4 linked regions of the Saccharomyces cerevisiae S288C genome follow. Changing the gene in region 3 together with the main gene of any one other region gives a genetic interaction. Each region holds a gene or a part of one and is shown on either strand. Other genes may lie near its edges.

The links.
Region 1: mutations in BAT1 (region 3) and LEU3 together harm fitness more than expected from each alone (negative genetic interaction), as found in Saccharomyces cerevisiae (2 studies listed by BioGRID).
Region 2: mutations in BAT1 (region 3) and TEA1 together harm fitness more than expected from each alone (negative genetic interaction), as found in Saccharomyces cerevisiae (2 studies listed by BioGRID).
Region 4: mutations in BAT1 (region 3) and PEX10 together harm fitness less than expected from each alone (positive genetic interaction), as found in Saccharomyces cerevisiae (2 studies listed by BioGRID).

Annotation. Positions count from the first base shown.
Region 1 is NC_001144.5:1,034,516-1,041,600, forward strand, and holds LEU3 (leucine-responsive transcriptional regulator LEU3), read left to right. Parts: upstream 1-1,577; coding exon 1,578-4,238; downstream 4,239-7,085. Other genes in the region: hydroxymethylglutaryl-CoA reductase (NADPH) HMG2, read left to right, coding at 1-1,249; GTPase-activating protein SST2, read right to left, coding at 4,755-6,851. UniProt on the Saccharomyces cerevisiae protein: Factor for control of RNA levels of a group of leucine-specific genes.
Region 2 is NC_001147.6:951,914-958,658, reverse strand, and holds TEA1 (Tea1p), read right to left. Parts: upstream 4,316-6,745; coding exon 2,036-4,315; downstream 1-2,035. Other genes in the region: putative E2 ubiquitin-protein ligase UBC11, read left to right, coding at 1-297; YOR338W (uncharacterized protein), read right to left, coding at 670-1,761; KRE5 (Kre5p), read right to left, coding at 4,789-6,745. UniProt on the Saccharomyces cerevisiae protein: TY1 element enhancer binding protein. Binds to the DNA sequence 5'-TCGGTGGTATTATTCCGA-3'.
Region 3 is NC_001140.6:515,256-520,813, forward strand, and holds BAT1 (branched-chain-amino-acid transaminase BAT1), read left to right. Parts: upstream 1-2,276; coding exon 2,277-3,458; downstream 3,459-5,558. Other genes in the region: SET5 (S-adenosylmethionine-dependent methyltransferase), read right to left, coding at 1-1,230; CRG1 (S-adenosylmethionine-dependent methyltransferase), read left to right, coding at 4,182-5,057; YHR210C (aldose 1-epimerase superfamily protein), read right to left, coding at 5,457-5,558. UniProt on the Saccharomyces cerevisiae protein: Mitochondrial isozyme of branched-chain-amino-acid aminotransferase, involved in the biosynthesis of the branched chain amino acids (BCAAs) leucine, isoleucine, and valine.
Region 4 is NC_001136.10:996,529-1,002,258, reverse strand, and holds PEX10 (ubiquitin-protein ligase peroxin 10), read right to left. Parts: upstream 3,396-5,730; coding exon 2,382-3,395; downstream 1-2,381. Other genes in the region: E3 ubiquitin-protein ligase HEL2, read left to right, coding at 236-2,155; palmitoyltransferase AKR1, read left to right, coding at 3,936-5,730. UniProt on the Saccharomyces cerevisiae protein: E3 ubiquitin-protein ligase component of a retrotranslocation channel required for peroxisome organization by mediating export of the PEX5 receptor from peroxisomes to the cytosol, thereby promoting PEX5 recycling.

The sequences.
Region 1 (7,085 bases), on a different chromosome or scaffold from region 3:
CTTAGAGAAAAAATTAGAGGACACAACTCGTGCGGTTTTAGTTAGGAGAAAGGCACTTTCAACTTTGGCTGAATCGCCAATTTTAGTTTCCGAAAAATTGCCCTTCAGAAATTATGATTATGATCGCGTTTTTGGAGCTTGCTGTGAAAATGTCATCGGCTATATGCCAATACCAGTTGGTGTAATTGGTCCATTAATTATTGATGGAACATCTTATCACATACCAATGGCAACCACGGAAGGTTGTTTAGTGGCTTCAGCTATGCGTGGTTGCAAAGCCATCAATGCTGGTGGTGGTGCAACAACTGTTTTAACCAAAGATGGTATGACTAGAGGCCCAGTCGTTCGTTTCCCTACTTTAATAAGATCTGGTGCCTGCAAGATATGGTTAGACTCGGAAGAGGGACAAAATTCAATTAAAAAAGCTTTTAATTCTACATCAAGGTTTGCACGTTTGCAACATATTCAAACCTGTCTAGCAGGCGATTTGCTTTTTATGAGATTTCGGACAACTACCGGTGACGCAATGGGTATGAACATGATATCGAAAGGTGTCGAATACTCTTTGAAACAAATGGTAGAAGAATATGGTTGGGAAGATATGGAAGTTGTCTCCGTATCTGGTAACTATTGTACTGATAAGAAACCTGCCGCAATCAATTGGATTGAAGGTCGTGGTAAAAGTGTCGTAGCTGAAGCTACTATTCCTGGTGATGTCGTAAAAAGTGTTTTAAAGAGCGATGTTTCCGCTTTAGTTGAATTAAATATATCCAAGAACTTGGTTGGATCCGCAATGGCTGGATCTGTTGGTGGTTTCAACGCGCACGCAGCTAATTTGGTCACTGCACTTTTCTTGGCATTAGGCCAAGATCCTGCGCAGAACGTCGAAAGTTCCAACTGTATAACTTTGATGAAGGAAGTTGATGGTGATTTAAGGATCTCTGTTTCCATGCCATCTATTGAAGTTGGTACGATTGGCGGGGGTACTGTTCTGGAGCCTCAGGGCGCCATGCTTGATCTTCTCGGCGTTCGTGGTCCTCACCCCACTGAACCTGGAGCAAATGCTAGGCAATTAGCTAGAATAATCGCGTGTGCTGTCTTGGCTGGTGAACTGTCTCTGTGCTCCGCACTTGCTGCCGGTCACCTGGTACAAAGCCATATGACTCACAACCGTAAAACAAACAAAGCCAATGAACTGCCACAACCAAGTAACAAAGGGCCCCCCTGTAAAACCTCAGCATTATTATAACTCTTGTAGTTTACATGGTGATACTTTATATCTTTGTATTGTCTAGCTATTCTAAATCATCTGCATGTAATAAGAAGTTGATCAAAATGACTCGCTGCGTAAAACCTCTCTTCGATCGGAGGTGCCGCCTAATTTATCGCCTAGCACTGCGCTTTTTCAAAGTTTTTCAGAGCAAAAAATGAAAAGTAATGAGCACAACAATAGAAGAGTATCATGATATATAAGGTCATAAAACTAGGTTTCAGGGGCTATCGGCAATTTGAGGAACCTTCAACCTGCCTCAAGTAAAAATCGCTTCGTAACATTAATACAAATTCTTTTTGCAATTATGGAAGGAAGATCAGATTTTGTGGCGACTTCACAGTCCGGAAGTGAAATGAGCCATAGTGAAACTAGGAATAGAACTGGGATGAATGCTAGGAAAAGGAAATTCGCCTGTGTGGAATGTCGTCAGCAGAAGTCGAAATGTGATGCTCACGAAAGAGCACCGGAGCCATGCACTAAGTGTGCTAAAAAGAATGTCCCATGCATTTTAAAACGAGATTTCAGAAGAACTTATAAAAGAGCAAGGAACGAAGCCATTGAAAAAAGATTCAAGGAACTCACCAGAACTTTGACAAATTTAACTTCGGATGAAATTTTGAAGAAAATTGAAGAGGAACAGGAAATTGTTTTGGATAACAGTAATTTCACAAAAGAAAAAGTAAAACAACTCAGGAAGAGTGCTTTTGAGACGACAGAAATAGAACCGAGATCATACAAAACACTTCGAGGAGAACCTATTTCTTACAGTACCAACAGAAGACATACGGATTCTTCTCCTTTAACGCTCTTAAGCTCGTCGACAAACTTCGACCCTGTTCACTCAACAAACGTTATGACAGATGATCAACTTAAGTGCTTGCCAAAAAGCCTGGGCGACGTATATTTGTCAAGCAGCGATATTGCTGAGCTGTTTCAAGAATTTGCGACAAAATATCATCAATTTTTACCCGTCGTTGACCTTTCGAAAGGAGCAGAGCGAATTTATCACTTATCTCCTTGCTTATTCTGGGTCATCCTGCTCATTGGTTTAAGGCGGAAATTTGGGGCTACAGACTTAATGACTCGATTATCAGTGCTAGTAAAGTCAGTTTTATCAGAAATCACAATATCTCCAATAATTCGATATACTCCATCAGATAAGGACGAACCCGTTCTAAATGTAGCATCTGTATATTCCGTGCAAGCATTTCTTTTATACACGTTCTGGCCTCCCTTAACCTCTTCATTAAGCGCCGACACTTCGTGGAATACCATAGGAACAGCGATGTTCCAAGCGCTTCGGGTAGGACTAAATTGTGCAGGTTTTTCAAAAGAGTATGCTTCGGCAAATTCAGAATTAGTTAACGAGCAAATACGAACTTGGATTTGCTGCAATGTTGTATCTCAAACAGTTGCATCATCATTTGGTTTCCCAGCTTATGTTTCATTTGATTATTTAGTAATCAGCTCTATTAGAGTACCAAATTCAAAAAGCCAAGTAGATATACCCAATGAACTAAGACAAATGGCTCAAATTGCTAGATTTGAGAACCAAATCGTAAACACAATGAACTCCACCCCGGCGAGTGTTACTGGGATGGTAAGTCAGGAAGAGAAGCAGCCCTTGTTACACGTTCTTAATCAACAACTAAGTCAATTGGAGATTAGTCTTGAAGAAAATAACCTAGATGATATCCGAAAATTTTTATTACTAGTGGCCAAGGTTCACTTATTAACCTATTACTTCACTGATGTTACCTCCCAAAGTGCTGGAAAATCAAATGGTAATATTTATGAGGGATCATATTCCATTATGGAACTCGATACAAGTTTTGAAACGAAACGTGGATTGGTGAAAGTTTATAATGCCGCCGTAAACTTTCTTATACATGCCAATAGTATGTGGGAACATGATCCTACCATTATTAAGTACTTTCCTGGTTTGTTTGTCTTGAATATATGGCAATCTGCCTGTATTATTAGTAAACTCATACATTCATCACTTCATTCAATGCTAGATGTTAACTCAGGCAAAAAAGCTTATAACAACGCAATTTCATTGACGTTTAATGCCTCAGTTTTAAAATATGATATGGCGTACAGATCATCCGGAATAATGCGAAGCATATGGAGTTTATTTGCTAATATGTATGATGCCTGGAAAAACGACCAAAAGGAAGGTGGAGGTAGACTAAATAATGATTTCAATTTAGGCATCACCATAAAATCTAGGATGTCAGTAAACGTTTTTTTTGACTGCTTATATATTCTAAAAGAGAAATGTGGTATGGCCAAATTGGAGAGAGAGACCAAGGTTTCTACAGCTTACAATGTTGATGAAGAGGAAGAGGAAGATGAAGATGAGGAGGGAGAAGAAGAAGAAGAAGAAGAAGAACTAAGTAGTAAAGTTCCAGAAAATATGGATAGCCAGCAACTAAGGACAAGGAAATTCACCAATGTAAGGCATCCAGAAAAGAAAGCAAGAAAAATAATTGAAACAATTCCGCTAGACCCAAATCCAATAAATGCAGGCTCTACCAGCAGTGGAAGCTCATTAACGACCCCAAATAGTCAAGTAGCGAACACTATATCATATAGAGGAATCCTCAATAAAATGTCACCTAGGGAACAACTGAATCATGCAAATTTAGATTCCAGTGTTTCTACAGACATCAAGGACACTGAAGCTGTCAATGAACCTCTGCCAATAGGGAGGAATGCTGAACATCCGGCAAATCAACCGCCTCTTTCAATAACACAAATGCAAGAAAACACACTACCTGCGACACAAGCCAACTCTTCTCTATTAGAAACGTATCCCATTGTTCAATCAAACCCCGTTACAACTACAATCAAAGAATCACCCAATTCCATCATGGCAGGTTGGGATAACTGGGAATCTGATATGGTTTGGAGGGATGTTGATATTTTAATGAATGAATTTGCGTTCAATCCCAAGGTTTAAAGTCCTTTTCTTTTTTTGCGTAATGTTTACTTACCCTCGAAAAAATGTTATGTAATGACTGCGGTGCTACAGGAGAGGTAAATGATTTTCTATATACGTTTATATTTCTTCCATTTACGCACACTATTTTTTGTCCTTGAATAATTTAACTCAAAAAAAGTGTAAAAAACTGTGTCATTAGGTATATGTTCAATACTTTTGATCTTCAAATGACGTAAAAAAAAGTTTTCAGACGGACTTAAACCGCCAACCAGCCTTGGCCACAGGTGTATGATGCGAAGATTCGTAAGCGCTCACGTTAGTCACATCTCAGGATTGGAAATTATACTAGATAATAAATGGCTTTATTTAATCATATTATAGTTGATATAACAAATCACACCTCCGCTTAATTTATACGTAATAGTATTTACAGTCCTTATGGGTATCAAGACATATTAGGTTAGGAGAACTAAAGAAAAAAAAAAGGACTGTTTGTGCAATTGTACCTGAAGATGAGTAAGACTCTCAATGAAATTAGCACTTTTCTTGGATTTCTATTAAAGCGCTAGCATCTTTGTATACGTCTGACTGGGTAAATTTTTGAAAGGAATCGTTATTCATCAGTCTATACATTTCATTGCTAACGATCTCGAAGAGGGGATATAATTTCCTGAGGACCTTCAAAGTTGCTGGAAATGATTCAACCGATTTGGTATCATTTTGGGTGTTGTCCATGCCATAACGAACAATTGTATGTGAATTTTCTACTGATGCATTAGGCGAATGCGTTTCTGCCAGAGTTAACGGGGCAGGTTTATATTCCTTTAACTGATGTTTGAATCCTTGCTTCTTAAATGAACAGTTTTCATTTGAAAGATTTTTTGAAGGTTTTAGACTCACTTCAGGTGGTTCACCTAACGTGTCAGCCTCCGTTGAGCTAATTGATGAAGCTGCTGATTCCGCGGATGCAGGTGATGGATCGTATAGATTAGTAGGAAAGTGTTCCGATAATGGAGAATGAGGGTGCAACATGATGTCAGAAATATTCTGACGCAAGTTATGATGGATATTTAATTGATATGGTGATCCTATCATGATATAGGACGAATAAATGTGATATGCCATTTCAAGGCACTCATTGGCCTGTTTCATTAAAGCTGAATCAATCGTTTTTACGATATTGTTTTTTGAAGTACTGGTATTAGATTTTTTATCACAATGCTTAGAATCTATCAATTTTTTCAGAATTGTCATTTTCTTCAAAAACCTCTTAATCTCAATGAAGACATCCAAATTTTCTACACAAAGTTCCTTTTCTAAATGGCGCCTGAATAAATATCTCATACCTGGATCAGTTAGCACATAGTCCAGTTTATTTAAATTACTCGAAGAGATAAGCATGTCTTGAGAAAAACCTTCACTATCATCCAATGTCTTTTTTTCATCACGAACAGTCATATGACCCCTTAATGTGAAATCTAGGTCTATGGTGCTACCATTTGGTGCTCTAATATTATTGCTCTTACAACCTGTCCAAGAAACCAAATCCCAACCACGCTTGGACAAGGTAAAAAAAGAGGACCTGCTAATTTGAAACTTTTTCTTGTCAGTGCGTGATGGTTGTAAAAGAACTGGTACAATCAACCCCGTTTTTAAAAATAACGCTGCCAACGAGACCGCTTCTTTAACATGCATAATATCAGTACAGTCCATTATCCACTGCCATATAGCCTTTGTTGTAAAGGTGTACTTAATCACGATTTTTTTGGAAGTGCCAAACGTCTTATTTTCAAACAACCTAATACCTGCATTCGAAACGTAGTATTGCGTGTGCGACTCAGAATCTGGATTTGTAAAGAATCGATGAGCTAATGGCGATACCCTTTCTAAGTCATTTATATCGATGTTTCCAATCTGAGCTTGCCATCCTTGTTCTGGCTTAGATTTCTCAAAAGTAAATGTATCATCATTATTAGTGTATTCCAACAACGAAGATAGGCAAGGTAATGGGTCATCTGCGTTTGTTGGAGACCAAACATTTGGCTTAGCGCCCATCATTTTAATGAAAAGAATATGGATCAAATAATCACTATGGATGATTGAATCCGTGACAGAGCTTCTCTCAAAAGTGAAAAGTTTCATGGAGTTAAACGATGACAAAAGAATATCAGGCATTGTTTTCAACCCAATATCTCTAACATACTTTTGTAAAACAGCAACTCCCTTAGGTGTTGGTTGGAAAAGAACTTTCTCTTTTGGCTCGCCACGAGTTCTGTCCTGCGGTGTATGTAGTAGCTTAGAAGACATAAATAATGTAAGAAGGTGGCGCGCCAAACTAGGTTTAATATTATATGAAACGTTAATACAAGTTGTGTTCATATCCACTTTTAGTTCCAATTGTCCCATTGCTTTAATAGCTTCCTGATATGTAAAAGTGAAGTGGAAATGTTTAGTGAATGCAGTTAATAAGAAAGACTTAGTGTCACTACTATGTTTTTTCTCTTTCAAATCCAAACAAATTAGAAAAATGGAATATACTGTCTTTAAATCATTGGTAAAGATCAGTCCATTCGGCGTTCTGCTGAAATTTTTGGAAGATAATTCATGCAACGTCCTATTTTTATCCACCATCTTACAACTCTATCTTTAATTACCAAATTGAACCTATAACGCCTCAGATAGTGCGTGCAAAACCTAGAAGGAACGTACGACAGTAACACCTCCAAAGTTAAAGGACGATGAGAAGTAAAGACAGAGCTGGGATTATGATTTCATTCACCGGTATAAATATAACAGGACAGACAACAATTCTAACGCACCAGCAACCAAATCCAAGTCCTAGTCAAAAAAAAAGCAGTATTGGGA
Region 2 (6,745 bases), on a different chromosome or scaffold from region 3:
AAGGTTTCATTGAAGTTTCCTCAAAACTATCCTTTCCATCCGCCAATGATTAAATTTTTGAGTCCAATGTGGCATCCAAACGTGGATAAGAGTGGCAACATTTGTTTGGACATTCTGAAAGAGAAATGGTCTGCAGTGTATAATGTAGAAACAATTCTATTGTCATTGCAGTCATTACTTGGCGAACCAAATAACAGATCTCCGCTGAACGCTGTGGCAGCAGAACTTTGGGATGCAGATATGGAGGAATACAGAAAAAAGGTCCTGGCCTGTTATGAAGAAATCGACGATTACTGAGTTAACCTAAGTTAGACGAAAAAATGATGTGACAGAAAAGCCACAGACTCTCAAACTCCAATGCTATTTTTCTACGGCGTTCATAACCCGTAATAATTCAATAACAAAATTGATAACGTAACAACCGAAGAAATATAATTAATATAAAAAGAAAACCTCATATATGAACGAAATCTATATGTAAAAAACCATAAATAAAAATATATCAAATGTGTTCTAAGAATAAAAAACCGTAACCGTAACCCTTAACCATAACCATTTAAACGCCTCAATTCTGTATTACTCAATGAGACTGTCATATTCCGTACTTATCAAATTTGCTCGTTTAAACGATGAAACGATACGCTATCCCAAAGGCGTACCGCCTCTTTCTTACAAATACTTTTCAAAATGTTTATCTTGTAACCAACCTACCTTTTCAAATGCTGCAAATAGCCTTGATGCTTTATTAACGTCTATTCTACAAGCCTTTTGAGCATCCGTTCTCCTGAACGGCAACCCCTTTTTGAATCTATGAACTTTTTCCAAGAAAAATCTTCTTTTAGAGTCCAAATAAAGATCACATGGAAGTCTCAGAATCTGTGCGAGAACTAGTTCTGCAGGATGCAGACGCTGTTTGAGAGGATCATGATTCAAGTCCATTGGAGAGCCTTTCCATTCCACTTTTAAAACTTTATTATTACTATTCGGCAAAGTGTGAAGAGGAGGTGAGTAATCCGGCAACTTTTCCCACGACATGCTTGGAATATACTTGGGGACATTATTCACTACGCCCTGTGAGGCCAATGGCGAAGAAATAGTATGAAGAGACCTTTTAACTTGACGTATCGGAGTCACTGATCTAACTGGAACTTCTTGAGCACTTTCTTCATCATAGTTTTCTGACCTGTTTCCATCATCTTCGTACAACTCCCTTGATCTTCTCTTAATTTTCCTATCGTATCTTCTTCTCTTGGGCAGAGCTTCTGAGTTCACAACAGATTTTACCACTTTCAATTTCCTATTTTCTTTGTTAGGAATCCTTTTCGTTGTTTTCATATCTCGGAAGAAGCTATATTGCGATAAGAAATTCCTTGTATTATGGTTGTACTTCTGAGAGTTCAAGCCCGCTTCCCAAACGGGGGTCAACATGATCAGCTCCCTATGGTCGCTTTCCACATTAACCAGCTGAGGCTGGCTTATTATGGGGCATTGCCTCAGCTTTGGCGATAATGGAGGTGAAGGTATTAGGAAGTCATCGATACTTGCATCGATAGCACGGACAACGCTACTATCGGATATCTGTCCGTGTGAGGATTCCATCGAGTTCAATCTCTCTTCAATATTATTCCTGACCACAGCCAATCTCTGCACTTGCTGGTTTAATTTGTAACCTATTTTGTGGGAAGCGGGAATTTTGTTAATACCCCCATTCAATTGAGGATGTTCCGGTGCTGGAGAATGAAATTGCATGTTATCTAGCATCGCAGTCGAAAAAAATTCTCTTTTCTAATCTATATTATTAGTTGATTCTCTATGATGTTCGTTAAGTATTTAAACAGAGTAGATGTCTTAGATATATAAGATCCGGTAAAAAATTTTAACGCAGGCTATGCTGATTAAAAATCCTTCTAGAAGAGCCACAAAACAAGAAAAAGAAATGTTAATTTGAACATTTCTTTTTCCCAGGGACCCCGCGCCTGTGCACCGCATCGCCTTTTAGCCGCCGATACGGAAAAGGTGACAAATATAAAGATCGTCAGAGTTTTTGAGGTGTGCCCACCCCAAACAGTTCTCTGATAAGATCGTCAATTTCGTGGGAGAGTGAAAAATCGTGCGTGTAGTTTATATTTCCAACTTGGTTCAACATCTGGTTTTCTTGTTCTGTTTCCAGCTCCGTATCCTCCTGCAGCTTTTTCGGCAGATCATATGCGGGATATAGTTGTGTGTAGAAGATGTGATTGAAAAAATCCAATTGTGCATTCCATGAGTCTTGCTCACTGGAACGTATCTCTTTCAACTTCTTCAAACAGTTGATGGCCAACAGGCATGAGTAAAGTTGGTAAAGGTTTCCCTTCGTGTAGTTTCCGAATTTTTTCCCGAAATTGTCCAGCAAAGTCTTCAAATCATCGATGATCTCTATGACTACCGTTTCGGATTCTTGAGAGTCTTCTATAAATGGCTTGTTAAAGGTGAGCCGCACTATGTAGTAGCAATACCAGAAGTAAGATATAGTGGGGTCTGTGGATACGTCATCGTTCTCGATGAGTGTTTTCGACCATTGCAAAAATTCCGGTAGAGATTGTCTCCAGTTGTAAACCTGAGAATTGAAAGTGTTCAAGTACTTTAGTTTTCGTGCTATATCTTCCGACTCGATGAAAATTTTAGAGGTGAAGATTTGTACAAGCCTTGATAGAATTATCAAGTTTTTCAGAGGCAAGGATATCTGTAAAACATGTCTTCCAATAAATCTGAACTCTTCGGTGCCGTTGACTTCTGGCAGCTCATCCGACTCTGGCATGGTTGAGTTACTAACGCTTAATGTGGACGTTCTACCCAACATCAGGCAAATAAAATGATCCGCTATATAGCAACCCCAGTAAATCCTTGATCTTATTTCCAACTCACTTTGGGTCAGCTGCAGATTGTTATCATCAACGTACCAGACTTTAGGGTCCAGTTGAAATCCCATGTCGTAGCCGACCCTGATAGCCAGGCCCGAGAAGTACCACCCTAATTGATTATTACCCTTCCCCAGTTCGTAAAAGGCTAAGCAAAATAGCGCTTGGACGGTGGTGATACGGGCTGTACTTTGCTCATCAAAGACGAGCTGTAATAAAGTCTTCTTACTTCGTTGATAATACACTTCTGAATATTCTTGTAGATCCGGTGTAAGCCTCGAACCGACAGCGCACATGGCATATATCAATTCGACAGAACAGTAACTTGAGTCTTCATAGTTATTCTTGGAGTGATTGAAGAATCCATAAAGAAAACTTTCTCTGTGAACAAAAATAAAATAACCTGGATACAGCCACTTATAGAAATTGGAAAGAGATTTTAAAATCCTGGGATCGTTATTGATAGAGTTGGGATTATCATCGTTTAGTCCTCTTACTATTACGGTGGTCTTCAAGTCGGATATACGTTTTTTCAGTTCACCATTAACTAGGACGGAATTACCAGCAGTTATACCGTCAGAAAAAGTAGATGGGTCTGTAGCAGCTGTTAACGAAGACACAGGCAATAAACTGTCCGATTTTACGGGGTGCTTCCGTTTGTAACTGACAGGTCCTTCAGGATAAAGACTACCTTTTACCAACGGTTTCTTCTTTTTTTCACCTTGCGGTGTTAACGATCTTCGTAAAAGTAACTGATCATCAAGGGATTCTTCGAAATTTTGTTTTTGGGTGTTGAAGATACCCGAGTTTAGAGTAGATGGCTCTGTTTGTTGGTTAAAGGACGATAGAGGTTGACTGACCTTATCGTTTTCAATAATGAATGTACCTCTGGTTGCGGGAATTGGAAGAGAGGGAGTTTGGTCAGTATAATTGATTGAGACTTGTGAACTGTCTGGTAGAGCTGATAATACATCACCTACCATCATTCGGTTCAGTATTTGCTCATCGTCAGGGTAGATCTTCTGAACTAGGTTTTTTAAGTTGGTCTCCAGTTGAGCAATATGGCTCTCCAAAGACTTGACATATTTATTAGTGTACCGCTTCTTTCTTAAGTCCTCGTCATTAACATTACAAACCAATTCCAACCTGGAACAGTTACCACAGGGAAATCCTAAATCACATTTTTTCCTTCTATTTCTACAATTAGTGCACGCAAGTCTCTTTCTAGTACTGCCGCCATTAGTAAGTGTATTTGCACCTGTTCCGGAGCGTACATTGGCTGCAGAAGAACTCCTAGAATTTTCTTCGTTTGAGCTCGCGTTTGTGCTACTCAAAATATTGCTGGTCATATCCGTTGATAACGCTCTTTTAACTGTGTGGTTTTTTTCATTCTTGTTTGGCCACAATGGCGCTGTCATTTTTTGATCCAGATGATATATAGCCTCTGTCTTCTTAAATATTAATGAAGGGATTCAATAAATAGGTATATTCATATAATAGAGGCGTTTATAGTAACCAATTGATAACCGTTTAGGCAATCGTCAGCCCATACCTACTTTCCATTTTTGTCTCATCGCTGATTGCAATCTGCTCGAAAAAAAAAAAAAAAAAAAAAAAAAAGAAAAGAAGCGAAACAGACTTCTGCCAGTGATCTTTTGTCATCAAAGAATCTAATGAGTCATGGGGAGCACGGGCAAAACTCGTTCATAGTATTCGCTCAAAAAGCGGAACCCATGTTACTGGATAATCTGCTTTTACTTAAAAAACTCTTGGCGAGAAATTTTATGTTCTAAAAATGATATAAAAATCTATTATGGAAGAAGACTTATGCGCAGAAGCAATTCTTTCACGCTCTTGGAACCGTCGCGTAATGAACTCTTCCTGCGAGTAGTTATAATTCGTCATGCAGAGGAGCGGCATTGTCGGAATCTTGGTATTTGCTGCTAACACTTTCTCCAGGTACGTCTTCATCGCCAGGAGAGGATGCGAACTTATTTATTTTTTTCTTCCATTCAGAAACACATTCATCATTAATAACTAATTTCTTCTTATACGATCCCTTGAGAAACCTAATCGGAACCTCGAGTTGTAGGTTGTTAACTAGATCTTGGCCGATATTGACAAGAGACATGGCGTCTGTAGAAATACGTTGATAGTGAATCCTGTATTTATCACCAGCATCTAACTCCCGAAACCTCTCTAAGTTTACTAAAAAGGCCGGTTCGGTAGAATAAAATTCTAAATTATTCTCCCTTAACATTTTTTCCCAGTATCCTTCTTTCCAATAACCATCACCACTCATTCGGAATAGTCCTAGAGGTGCACGTTTGAGGCCTTGAAATTGAAAAATGTCAAAAGGATCCAGCGGTACTTCAGTTGGACTCATATATAACACTTTGGAGATGTTTTGAGGTAAAAGGACATCCAAGAACAGAAATCTAGAGACATCCCTTCTCCTTGAAGAAAATCTTTGCGGTCTTAACCATTGAGGCCATTCATAATTCAAAAAAATGACATTGCCTCTCATTTCATCAGAGGAATTTATATACTCACATGATTTCCTTAAAGTGTCGGAGATAAACGGCTGATCTAAAATGAAAAAATTCACCTTTTGCGTTTCGGGACACTTTGACAAAATGGATAAAATCATTTGCATGTACCTCTCTTCCTCATCTGGCCCGGACTCTAAAATAGTAAAAATATTGATTATTGTATCATTGTTGCGACCTTCCTCGTATTCTTCCTCGTGTGTAGGCTCTTCTGAAATTTTTACAGCGATTTTTTGTGGATTGTACGACAGTATATCCAAGGAATCTGATGGTATAAAGTCGGGATGCCCGTCAGTAGAAAATGACTGAACGGTATATCTTGAATCACAACTTTTTATATAGCAACCCTTTAAAAATTTGTCGGTATGAAATTGTCCATAGCCAAAGGTTTTCATTGTTGTAGTTTTGTCAATAATGTTCCCTGCAGAATCGACAAGTGCTAGGCATACACCCCCCATACCATCAATATTGCCAGTTGAAAGGACTGTTTTGCTAGAGAAGGAATGTAATTCTATGAGCAATTTTTTTATCCGATAATTATTATCTACAATGAAAGAATTAGGAACATCCATTTCAATATCTACTTCTGGATCTGATCTGCTATCCTCAGAAGTTATTGATTTGACAATATCTGCGTCATCAACGTATATTCTTCTAATAGGGACAATGTTTAATTCCAGTGTCGGCATTAAAATTACCTGAATATTAACAAATTTCAAAGGCCTGAATTGCTCAACAAGAGAAAGAATCATTTGCGTTCTCTCTTCAAGTGGATCTAAAATTAGTAGTAAATCAATAGAAGCTGATTTTCCATCTTCAAACATCGTTAAATTATTAGGTCTAAAAAACTCGCTCAAATCCATTCTTGGTAAGCTACTTTCAGTGGTATAATCAATACCATTATTGTATATATGTGTACCTTGGTAAAACAACCTAGTTAAAATGGAGGAGATCATTTCTATCAAATCAGGATTGATTATTTCCTGTGAGAAACCTGGAAAAAGTAAATCTAGGGCGAAAACTGAATCGATCGTTCTTAGAGCTTCTCTCTTTATGATTGCTTCGAAATGTTCTGTTTCTGGCACTTCATTTTGATCAAGATGAATAAATCTACCGTTCAAAGCAATAAATGAACCCTTTTGCAATTCAAATAATGGAATGTCAGGAAGCCATTTATGAAGGCCTAACTGGTTTAAGCCGCTTTTTTTGTACGTGTGACTTTTTACCTTTTTAAGTTTCAAAGCATCAATAAATGTATTTATTGAGCCTATTGGATCTTTTTGGGAAAGACTTCCACGC
Region 3 (5,558 bases):
CCTCACCCCATGTAAGGGATTGACGTACGTAATACGTATTTGTTCCCCCTTCTTTATTGGTTTCCTTGCATGCAACCTCAGTTCCTCATGTTCTTCTACTTGCTCAATATAGGCGTTTGGTTCACAATCATGGTTTATGAAGGAGATCCAATGATATACCTGGCCGTTATATTGATTGATATTGAACGTCCCGATCATGGTCAAAAATTTCTCGAAATCTATTTCTTCAGAAGCTTTTGGAAATGCACCGCAAAATAATTCGTAGCACTTCTCCCAAACAGTCTCGTCATCAATATTCTTCTCAACGCCCTTTTTGGTACCATTATCAGATTCCTCTTCAGTATGTACAGTTGTACCATTCAGTAAACTAAACGTACTGCCGATACCGCTGGCGTCTCTTAATTTAATTCTTTCCCTTTGTGAGATGCTTGCCAATTTTTGCCATTGCTCTTTGACCTCTCCTGTAGTATCCAAAAGCATGGATCCATATATAAGACCAACTGAAAAGGCAGCGGTAAAACAATATTTCTCACAGTAGTTAACAAATCTTTTCCAATTACCAGCATGAAGAATGTCTATTCTATTCGATCTCCATGAGTGGTATAAAAGCTCATGTAACGACGCATGTGCTTTTTTACATTTTTCACTGCACCAAATAGCTTTGCAAACTTCACAATCCAAATAATGGACCATAATTTTGTGCTGGGTCAAATCATATAGCGCCTTACCACATCGAGCACATGCCTTTCCATTAGATATTAAAAAAAGCTTGTCCAGTGGTGGAATATATACGATAGGTTTATTTTCTTTCAGGATGATTTGGCCCTTGGAAAAATCTCTTTTAGCGAAAAGGCCCCTTCCATGTTCGTCATCAATAAATTTCACTTCGACCTTAGCATCAGAATCTAGGGCTTTTGGAAAATGTATTTTATCTTTATATAGAGAAACGGTCTCTAGATCTGTGTCATAAAGATGGTGCTCATTTAGAATTTTTCGAAAACGAGAAGCACTCAATTTCCACGATTGATTTCTTTCCGTAATCCTGTCATAAAGATGCTGAATCGTAGCGTCTTCAGTTCCGGGCTCTTCCTTCCATAACAAAACTACGTCATCACAGATCTCTTCCTCTGTGGGAGTTATCTTTCGAAAATCAGAGCCATTTTCTGTACCATTATGCACTGCAGATTGATCGCTATCGTTTAAGGTTCCTATTTTGATAGTCAATGTCATTTTTGTGCCACTTTTCGTTATTTTGTATCAGTGCACGCTTGGTTATTTACCTATTTAGCTTCTATTGTTATATGGAGAAGTTCCCCATGATTATGATATCAAGAAAGAAAAAGAAAAAGAAAAATAATACGAAAAAAAAAATTACGAAGCTAAAATAAAAAAAATTACGGCAAGGAAAGGGTTTACTGATAAAATTTGTTATCATTCTTGCTAGTCAGTAAGAGCATATCTGCTCAAGTAGACAAGGGAAACTATCGCAGGTGGTCCGGAAAGTACTTGACAATCAAATGCTCGTCTGAAAGCCAATGAGGAAAACTTGTAGACTGTACTAATTTTTCAAGAGAAAGAAAGATACCGTATGTTTGACTATTCTAACGAGATTTATGCTACAAACTCCTCGAGAAGCAAACTGAGGTAGAATTACCCACCCACAGCGCGATAAGTCACATTGGCGCCCTGGACTTGACGAATACTCCTATCAATAGTAAGGCTCGCAAACCGCCCGTCCATATCAAGCCATTAAATTCTGTTATTATCCTTAAAAGTGAAATGCGCACCACAAGCTTGATGGCATTTCCTTCTGCACTTCTCAAATTGATAGCATTGCCTTGCGAGCAGTAGATAATTTAGATAAAGTGTATCTTGCCAGGGCCTTCCCAGGCATTAACTAGATAATGTGTTCTTTTTTAGCTGAACTGTAAAGCGTAAATGTTAACGCTGGATAAGTACCGCGTGTACGGTTGATTGAATGATCTTACTGATAGAGGCCAGGCGGTTGATACTTTGTGCAGATTTCATACCGGCTGTCGCTATTATTACTGATGAATTGGCTCTCTTTTTGTTTAATGGCCCATCCGATCCATATTGCCTTCTTATGACTCAAAATTCTATTGTGTTTGCCGGTACCGGCCTTTAAGCTTTGAAAAAAAAAAAGCATCTGAAAAAAATGGCACTATAAAGAGAGCTAGTGGTAACAACTACATGTTTTCGTTAGAATAAATCACCCTATAAACGCAAAATCAGCTAGAACCTTAGCATACTAAAACATGTTGCAGAGACATTCCTTGAAGTTGGGGAAATTCTCCATCAGAACACTCGCTACTGGTGCCCCATTAGATGCATCCAAACTAAAAATTACTAGAAACCCAAATCCATCCAAGCCAAGACCAAATGAAGAATTAGTGTTCGGCCAGACATTCACCGATCATATGTTGACCATTCCTTGGTCAGCCAAAGAAGGGTGGGGCACTCCACACATCAAGCCTTACGGTAATCTTTCTCTTGACCCATCTGCTTGTGTATTCCATTATGCATTTGAATTATTTGAAGGTTTGAAAGCCTACAGAACTCCTCAAAATACTATCACCATGTTCCGTCCGGATAAGAACATGGCCCGTATGAACAAGTCTGCCGCTAGAATTTGTTTGCCAACTTTCGAATCTGAAGAATTGATCAAACTTACCGGGAAATTGATCGAACAAGATAAACACTTGGTTCCTCAAGGTAATGGTTACTCATTATACATCAGACCAACAATGATTGGTACATCCAAGGGTTTAGGTGTTGGCACTCCCTCCGAGGCTCTTCTTTATGTTATTACTTCTCCAGTCGGTCCTTATTATAAGACTGGTTTCAAAGCCGTACGTCTTGAAGCAACAGACTATGCTACAAGAGCTTGGCCAGGTGGTGTTGGCGACAAAAAATTGGGTGCTAACTATGCCCCATGCATCTTACCTCAACTACAAGCTGCCAAAAGAGGGTACCAACAAAATCTATGGTTGTTCGGCCCAGAAAAGAACATCACTGAGGTTGGTACTATGAACGTGTTCTTCGTTTTCCTCAACAAAGTCACTGGCAAGAAGGAATTGGTTACCGCTCCATTAGATGGTACCATTTTAGAAGGTGTTACCAGAGACTCTGTTTTAACATTGGCTCGTGACAAACTAGATCCTCAAGAATGGGACATCAACGAGCGTTATTACACTATTACTGAAGTCGCCACTAGAGCAAAACAAGGTGAACTATTAGAAGCCTTCGGTTCTGGTACTGCTGCTGTCGTTTCACCTATCAAGGAAATTGGCTGGAACAACGAAGATATTCATGTTCCACTATTGCCTGGTGAACAATGTGGTGCATTGACCAAGCAAGTTGCTCAATGGATTGCTGATATCCAATACGGTAGAGTCAATTATGGTAACTGGTCAAAAACTGTTGCCGACTTGAACTAATGATAATGAAGGTAAACATCCCCTCCCCCCCCAAAAAAAAAAAACGAGAATTCCTCTCAGAGGATCTGTTTTTCTCTCACTTTATTCACATAGATACATACTTTTTTACAATTCCTGTTGAGTTTATTTATTATAAGAAATATTGGATTACTATTATTATTATAGCTTATGCAAGCCATTGTGCGGCTTCTTACGCTTTTTGAAATTGTTGACCTAACAACTTGGCACATTATTGAATTTCATAGAGACTGCTTGTAATTTAGTTGCCAAGGTATCTCGCTGGACTTTACATGTAAAATGAATGCGGCAAGATACCCAAGAGAGTTGATTATGCCAAAAAAAAAAAATCTATAAGGATATCCCTGGTATTTTCTGAAGAATAAATTCTAGCGTAGTTCAGAAGAGGTGCAAGTACAGTATGAATAATGGTATGCCTTCCATCATCGTGGCATACAGGTTCAGGCATGAAGAGATGATTATGTTCCCTCACCGGTCCATAATCCTGATTTAAACAGTTCATTAGTATATGTTCAGCCAACACAACAACGAGAAGCTTTGTAGTGAAAGTTTTCCACGATCTATATTTAGCATTCTAATTAGCGGCCCCAAGGGAACGTATATAAACATAAACAAACGGCACGAACTAAAGGGGCAAATTCAAGTTAACCCTTTTACACTCAGTACATCTTCAAAGCCAGTCTTCTGTCAATGGAAGAATCCAGAATGCCTAAAACTAGTTATTTAAACAAAAATTTTGAATCTGCTCACTATAATAACGTACGTCCCTCTTACCCTTTATCTTTAGTCAATGAGATAATGAAATTTCACAAAGGCACACGCAAAAGTTTGGTTGATATTGGATGTGGCACAGGAAAAGCAACTTTTGTCGTTGAACCCTATTTTAAGGAAGTGATTGGGATTGATCCTTCTTCTGCTATGCTTTCGATTGCTGAGAAAGAAACAAATGAACGTAGATTAGATAAAAAGATTAGATTTATTAATGCGCCTGGTGAAGATTTATCCAGCATTCGACCAGAAAGTGTAGATATGGTTATTTCAGCAGAAGCCATCCATTGGTGCAATTTAGAAAGGCTGTTTCAGCAGGTTTCCTCTATATTACGAAGTGATGGAACTTTTGCATTCTGGTTTTATATTCAGCCGGAATTTGTGGACTTTCCCGAAGCCTTGAATGTATATTACAAATATGGATGGAGCAAGGATTATATGGGTAAATATCTGAACGACAACCAACGGGAAATTTTGTTGAATTACGGTGGTGAAAAGCTACGTTCTTTATTGTCAGATCGATTTGGAGATATTGAAGTCACAATTTACAGTCCTTCGGACCCAAATGCATCAACAGTAACGGCTGAAAACAGTCAGTTTCTCTGGAGAGCAGCTATTACTCTCAATCAATTTAAAGAGTTTGTGAAAAGCTGGAGCATATACACTTCTTGGGCTAGAGATAATCCCTCGAAACCGGATATTGCCGATATATTCATTAACGAGCTCAAAGAAATCTGTCATTGTGAAGATTTGAATGTACCTTTAAAAATAGAGTGGTCAACGTTTTATTACTTATGTAGGAAAAGAGAATGAGGTTTACTAAATTAAAAGAAATATATAAAAAGCTGATTTTTTTCTTTTTTTAAATATTTCCCAAATGCTAATAAATATTAAAATATGGCAAAAAGAAAATAAGGTGTTGTTGCGCAGTTGGGAGTAATTTAAAACCGTCAACATATGCTCTAAAAATTTTATTGGCTCTAAATTCCGACCTCTGAATGTAATTATGTTTTAAAGCGATACGTAAACTTGTTACTGTTAACATTAAAAGATAATGCAATCATGGTAACATAATAAAGTCTCAAAAAATTCTTAATATTAACTATAACATATGCACTTCAGAAAGCTGTTTCCGGATCATATCTCATTATAAAAAGCTCAATTTATAGAAAAATAATGCGACAGTGCAAAGTAAACAACTAAATTTGGTGCCTACACCGCAAAACGATATCGAGTCTTAGAAGTATATACCTCACCACGTCTCAAAAGAACGCAGTCTCTCCATCCATCACGGTTGATTGCGTCAACATATCT
Region 4 (5,730 bases), on a different chromosome or scaffold from region 3:
TCTCGAATAAAGAAAGGTTACACTGAAAGTTTCATACTCGCGGTCACTCTTAATAATAGCTATATTTTCTGATTTTCTCTTAAGATTTTGAAAAGGGCATCTGAACGACTGCCCACTCAGCCATATTCAACAAATCGTCGAGCGCATACCTAGCTGAAAAAGATCCATAAAGTGCATTTTGATACAGTCTCTTTCGTCGAAAAAATAGTGGCTATACTTCTTTTCAAGAATTAGGATGAGCGAATCAGTGAAAGAAAACGTTACTCCGACACGTAACTTCCGTCGTACTCAAGGGCCCCAAAATAATACAAAACCTCACAACGACAGGAAGAATTTCAGAAGAAAGCAAAAGAAAAATAACCTTTCTGCTGAACCCAACCTCACCACTTCAAGCGCAGATGATACTGATGAAGAAAATGAATTATGTGTAATTTGTGCGCGCAAGTTAACATACGTATCTCTAACACCATGCCATCATAAGACATGCCATATCTGTGGTTTCAGACAACGAGCTTTGTACAACAAGAAAAGCTGTTTGATTTGCAGAACGGAGAATGAAGAAGTCATGTTTACCGATCGCATAGATGGTGATATTTCAGATAAATATAACTTTTGCGAAAAAAATGAAAAATATGGAATAAATTTCACTAGCGAAGAGGTTGCTACCGAAACACTAAATCTTTTAAAATTTTTTTGTCCCCTATCGAAGGATGAACAAGTTTGTGACTTTGGTAGTTTCAAGAAATATAATGAACACTTGAAATCTGAACATAACAGAATGATCTGTTTAATATGTGCAACCCATAAGCATGCATTCCCTTGTGAGCTTGAAATATTCACCCAAAATCAATTACGCAACCATCAAACTAAGGGTAATTCAGAAGGATTCAAAGGCCACCCTATGTGTGCCTTCTGTTCCGGAAAACGATTTTATTCAGACGACGAATTGTACATTCACATGAGAAATCAGCATGAAAAGTGCCATATTTGTGATAAGATGAACCCCGCTTCTCCTCAATACTTTAAGGATTATAATCAGCTTTTTGACCACTTTAAACATTCGCATTACGTTTGCACCGTCCAAACTTGCTTAGATAACAAGTTTGTCGTATTTAAAGACGAGTTGGAGTTACAAGCCCACATTTTGCAGGAGCATGGTAATATCCTGAAGGGAAAGCCAAAGTTTTTCCAGTCAGAACTTTCTACTTTTATCTCGGCTCCATCTAGAGTGATCAGGGAAAGAGATGATTACGACCTTCCATCTATATCTTCCCTACCGGGTTCATCATCCGGCTCTAGAACTGATGTGAGATCTGCTAGTTCTCCCGAGGAAAGTAGACTAAGATTGGCAGAAAGAGCAAAATACTATCTGGAAAATTCCAAAGAAGACTTCAATAAGTTTTCTTCTTATAACGAAGATTATTCTAAAGGTCGCTTAAGTGCTGAAAAATTATTGGAATCATATAAATTGTTATTCACAAAACCAAATGCGGATGTATATTTATTGATTCATAACTTAGCTGAAACCTTTCCCAAAAACTCCTCCAAATACAATAATCTGAACGCCATATATGAACAAAGAGAGCAAACCCTTGCACGACAAACTTCACTACCTTCTTTATCTAGTGATTCTTCCCTTTCAATGTCAATAGGCAGGGGCCATTGGGGTGGAACAAACGATGGGGGCAGCGCTGGTGCAGCATTAGGCGTTAGGAATATCAAAAATCTTCCAACCCTGAAAAGTCCTTCAGCGTCGTATGATCCCTTTGCAACCACCGTAAAAAAAAACACTCTGAGACCCGTGCAAAACATTAAAAGAACTACACCTCAATCAGTTAGTTATCGAACTTCCACTAATACAGTCGCCTTCTCTCCAACCTATTTGGAAAGTAAAAAGGGTTCCTCTTCTACTTCTCTAAATAATAGCAAAGATAAATTGAAAAGTCTCAACCTACCTCAACTACCTCCACCAAAGCCAAAGGTGCAAATTCCAGGTCTGAACAGACCCCAAATTGCTGATCCTAAGCAGTGGGGTAAAAAGTCAAGCACACAAGATACTAACGTGCACGATAATTTGAGGGAATTGAACACAACTAGTGGAGGAAATAAAAAGAAAGGCAAACAAAAGCAGCTGTTATTCCACATTGGTGTATAGTTGGAAATATATTTCTAACCTGTAACTGACAATAGCATTAGAGAAATGAAAGTCTTAAATAAAATTCCGATAAAGAAAAACTTATTTAATTAATTAATATAATTACAAGACTAAAAAGCATTATTTCCCCTTCGCGTTTTACTTCTCCTGCTCAGACGTCTGCGTTATTTCTGAAAAAGGCCTGTGGACAATGCTAAAAGAGTAGTCAAATTATTGATTAGTTCCTCTATTGCCGCAGGACCAGAATTTCCTGTGGTTGACAGTGTTGTCTGCACAAGGGGCATTCTGGCCTCTCTTTACACCAGCTCATAAGACAACTCCAACAAAATAGATGTCCACATGGCGCGCAGCTAGGATCACTCATGTTCATGAGACATAGGATGCATTTTCTCGAGGCTTCTGGAATAAATGGCAATTGGTTTTTATCTGACAAATTTATATGAGTCAGCTGCGATTCCTTCGGTATGCCTTCTATAGATTCATGTTCTGAACGCTCCTGTAGACCAACAGACGACCTAGTAATTGAATCATTGGTCCTTTTTCTCCCATAAATCCAGGACCCGAGCGTAGAGGTTAGGACAGGGTACCATTTCATAACATTTTGAGCTAATAGGATATAACCTAATACTTTGTACTTTTGTGAGCCCTCTTCTCTAAAATTGGCCTCATTTTTTGACAATATATGTTTAAAAACATATCTCATACCAAAAATCCTTTTGGAAATACTGTAAAAAGCTCCTTTGAAATAAAAGAGGGTCATGTGTACGTCTAAAATGAAATCTAAAAGGCCCTTACAAAACGCGGCAACACTTTCAGTATCTTCAATTTTACTTTCCTTGTTGTTCTTCATTATTTTCTTGTATAGTTTGGTGATGAAATATGGACATAAAGGATAAGCGAAAGCGAATACAATCATTTTGAGCCGTCCTGCAAGTCTGGTACCCTTCCTATTAGTGTATGTCAAGTCAACATATTCCTCACCTAACGTTCTACCACGTCTTCCTGTAGTAAAGAGCAAATACAGGAGCTTGGCAAATATGGACAGTTCCTTAGGGTAAGAGTTAACAAACAATTGACTCTTTATCAATTTGCACAATTCAGTCACTTTCATAATCAAAAGGCCCTGGATTTGTTCATCTTTTTGATGCGCTTGTACTATACTTGGAGCATCGGCAAATGGAAATCTTAGCTGCGATAGTCGCATAAGTGCTTCCTTTTGCAACTTATTATCATTCTTCATTTTGGTCCTCTATTGTATGACCCCCCACCGATGTAGTAGTGTCTGTTTCTTTCTTCGATGTGTAGTGTGCTTTATTACCACTACCTTATTTTTCTAATGTAAACGGCTAATACCTACTTCGCCCTCTCAGATTATCACGGTGGGTAAAAATTGTGATAAAACCGGCTGATTACTTGCAAGAAGATGCACATATGGACAGCTCATGTAGCTGTTGAGACGTTATCATTGTTAGAACTTTGGCTCCTATAATATTATCAATTCACGTTTTGCTGCTTATTCCTCCGAACGACTTTTAGCATTGGGTTACTCTGATCACAAACATCCGTACCCTACACTCCGGGTGATAAAGCCAGCCCATTGTTTCGTACTTTCTTATTACACCCTCATATTGAACGATCTATAAAACGAAGTAATGTACAGACACAAGTGCAAGCGAGGAATATATACGGTCGATTAGTAGATTACAAACCACGAAGTAGAATATATCATTTCCGTTTCGTCTAGATAAAAAAACACTTCTTTGTTCAGAGTAGCTAATTGATGGTGAACGAATTAGAGAATGTGCCACGGGCGTCGACCTTGACGAATGAAGAGCAAACGGTTGATCCTAGCAATAACGACTCACAGGAAGATATTAGTCTGGGTGATTCTAACGAAATTACTTCGTTGGCATCATTAAAGGCTATCCGATCAGGAAATGAAGAGGAAAGCGGGAACGAGCAGGTGAATCATAATGATGAGGCCGAAGAAGATCCTCTGTTAACTCGCTACCATACCGCTTGCCAAAGAGGTGATCTAGCGACTGTCAAAGAAATGATACATGGAAAGTTGCTCGAAGTTAATAACGACGGTGACTCTACGGAACATATCACTGGTTTGCATTGGGCAAGTATTAATAACAGACTTTCTGTAGTGGATTTTCTAGTTTCACAAGGCGCTGATGTCAATGCAAGGGCTGGTGCTTTGCATGCCACACCATTACATTGGGCTGCAAGGTATGGGTACGTGTACATTGTCGATTTTTTGCTTAAGCATGGAGCTGATCCCACCATGACCGATGACCAAGGTTTCAATCTACTACACTTATCTGTGAACAGCTCAAATATAATGCTAGTTCTATACGTTTTATTCAACGTTGTCAGCAAAGGTCTTTTAGATATAGATTGCCGAGACCCAAAGGGCAGAACTTCACTACTATGGGCTGCTTACCAGGGAGATTCCCTAACTGTAGCAGAATTGTTGAAATTTGGTGCCAGCATAAAGATCGCAGATACAGAAGGATTCACCCCACTGCACTGGGGCACTGTAAAAGGGCAACCACATGTACTAAAATACTTGATTCAAGATGGTGCAGATTTTTTCCAAAAAACGGATACCGGAAAAGATTGCTTTGCTATTGCTCAAGAAATGAACACTGTGTACTCACTTAGAGAGGCTCTAACACATTCTGGATTCGACTACCATGGTTATCCCATTAAAAAATGGTTCAAAAAAAGTCAACATGCTAAGCTCGTTACATTCATAACGCCATTTCTATTTCTAGGAATCGCATTTGCTCTTTTCTCTCATATTAACCCTTTGTTTGTAATCATTGTCCTTTTTTTATTGGCCATTGCCACTAACAAAGGCTTGAACAAATTCGTTCTGCCGTCATATGGACGAATGGGTGTCCACAACGTTACCTTGTTAAGGTCACCTTTGTTATCCGGTGTTTTTTTTGGCACTTTACTTTGGGTGACTATCGTTTGGTTTTTCAAAGTTATGCCTCGAACATTTTCTGATGAACAATATACTAACATCCTAATGCTGGTAATACTTGTTTCTGTATTTTACCTTTTTGGGCAGCTTGTTATTATGGACCCAGGATGTTTGCCAGAAGAAACTGATCATGAGAACGTGCGACAAACAATCTCGAACTTGCTCGAAATCGGTAAATTTGATACGAAGAACTTTTGTATCGAAACTTGGATTAGAAAACCTCTAAGAAGCAAATTTTCGCCCTTAAACAATGCTGTGGTTGCAAGATTTGATCATTACTGCCCTTGGATCTTTAATGATGTCGGACTCAAAAATCACAAAGCATTTATATTTTTTATTACATTAATGGAAAGTGGTATTTTCACATTTCTTGCACTTTGCCTGGAATATTTTGATGAACTTGAAGATGCACACGAAGATACATCCCAGAAAAATGGCAAATGTTTCATCCTAGGCGCTTCAGATCTCTGTTCGGGATTAATATATGATAGATTTGTCTTTCTGATATTATTATGGGCTTTACTCCAATCTATTTGGGTTGCAAGTTTGATCTTCGTCCAAGCCTTTCAAATATGTA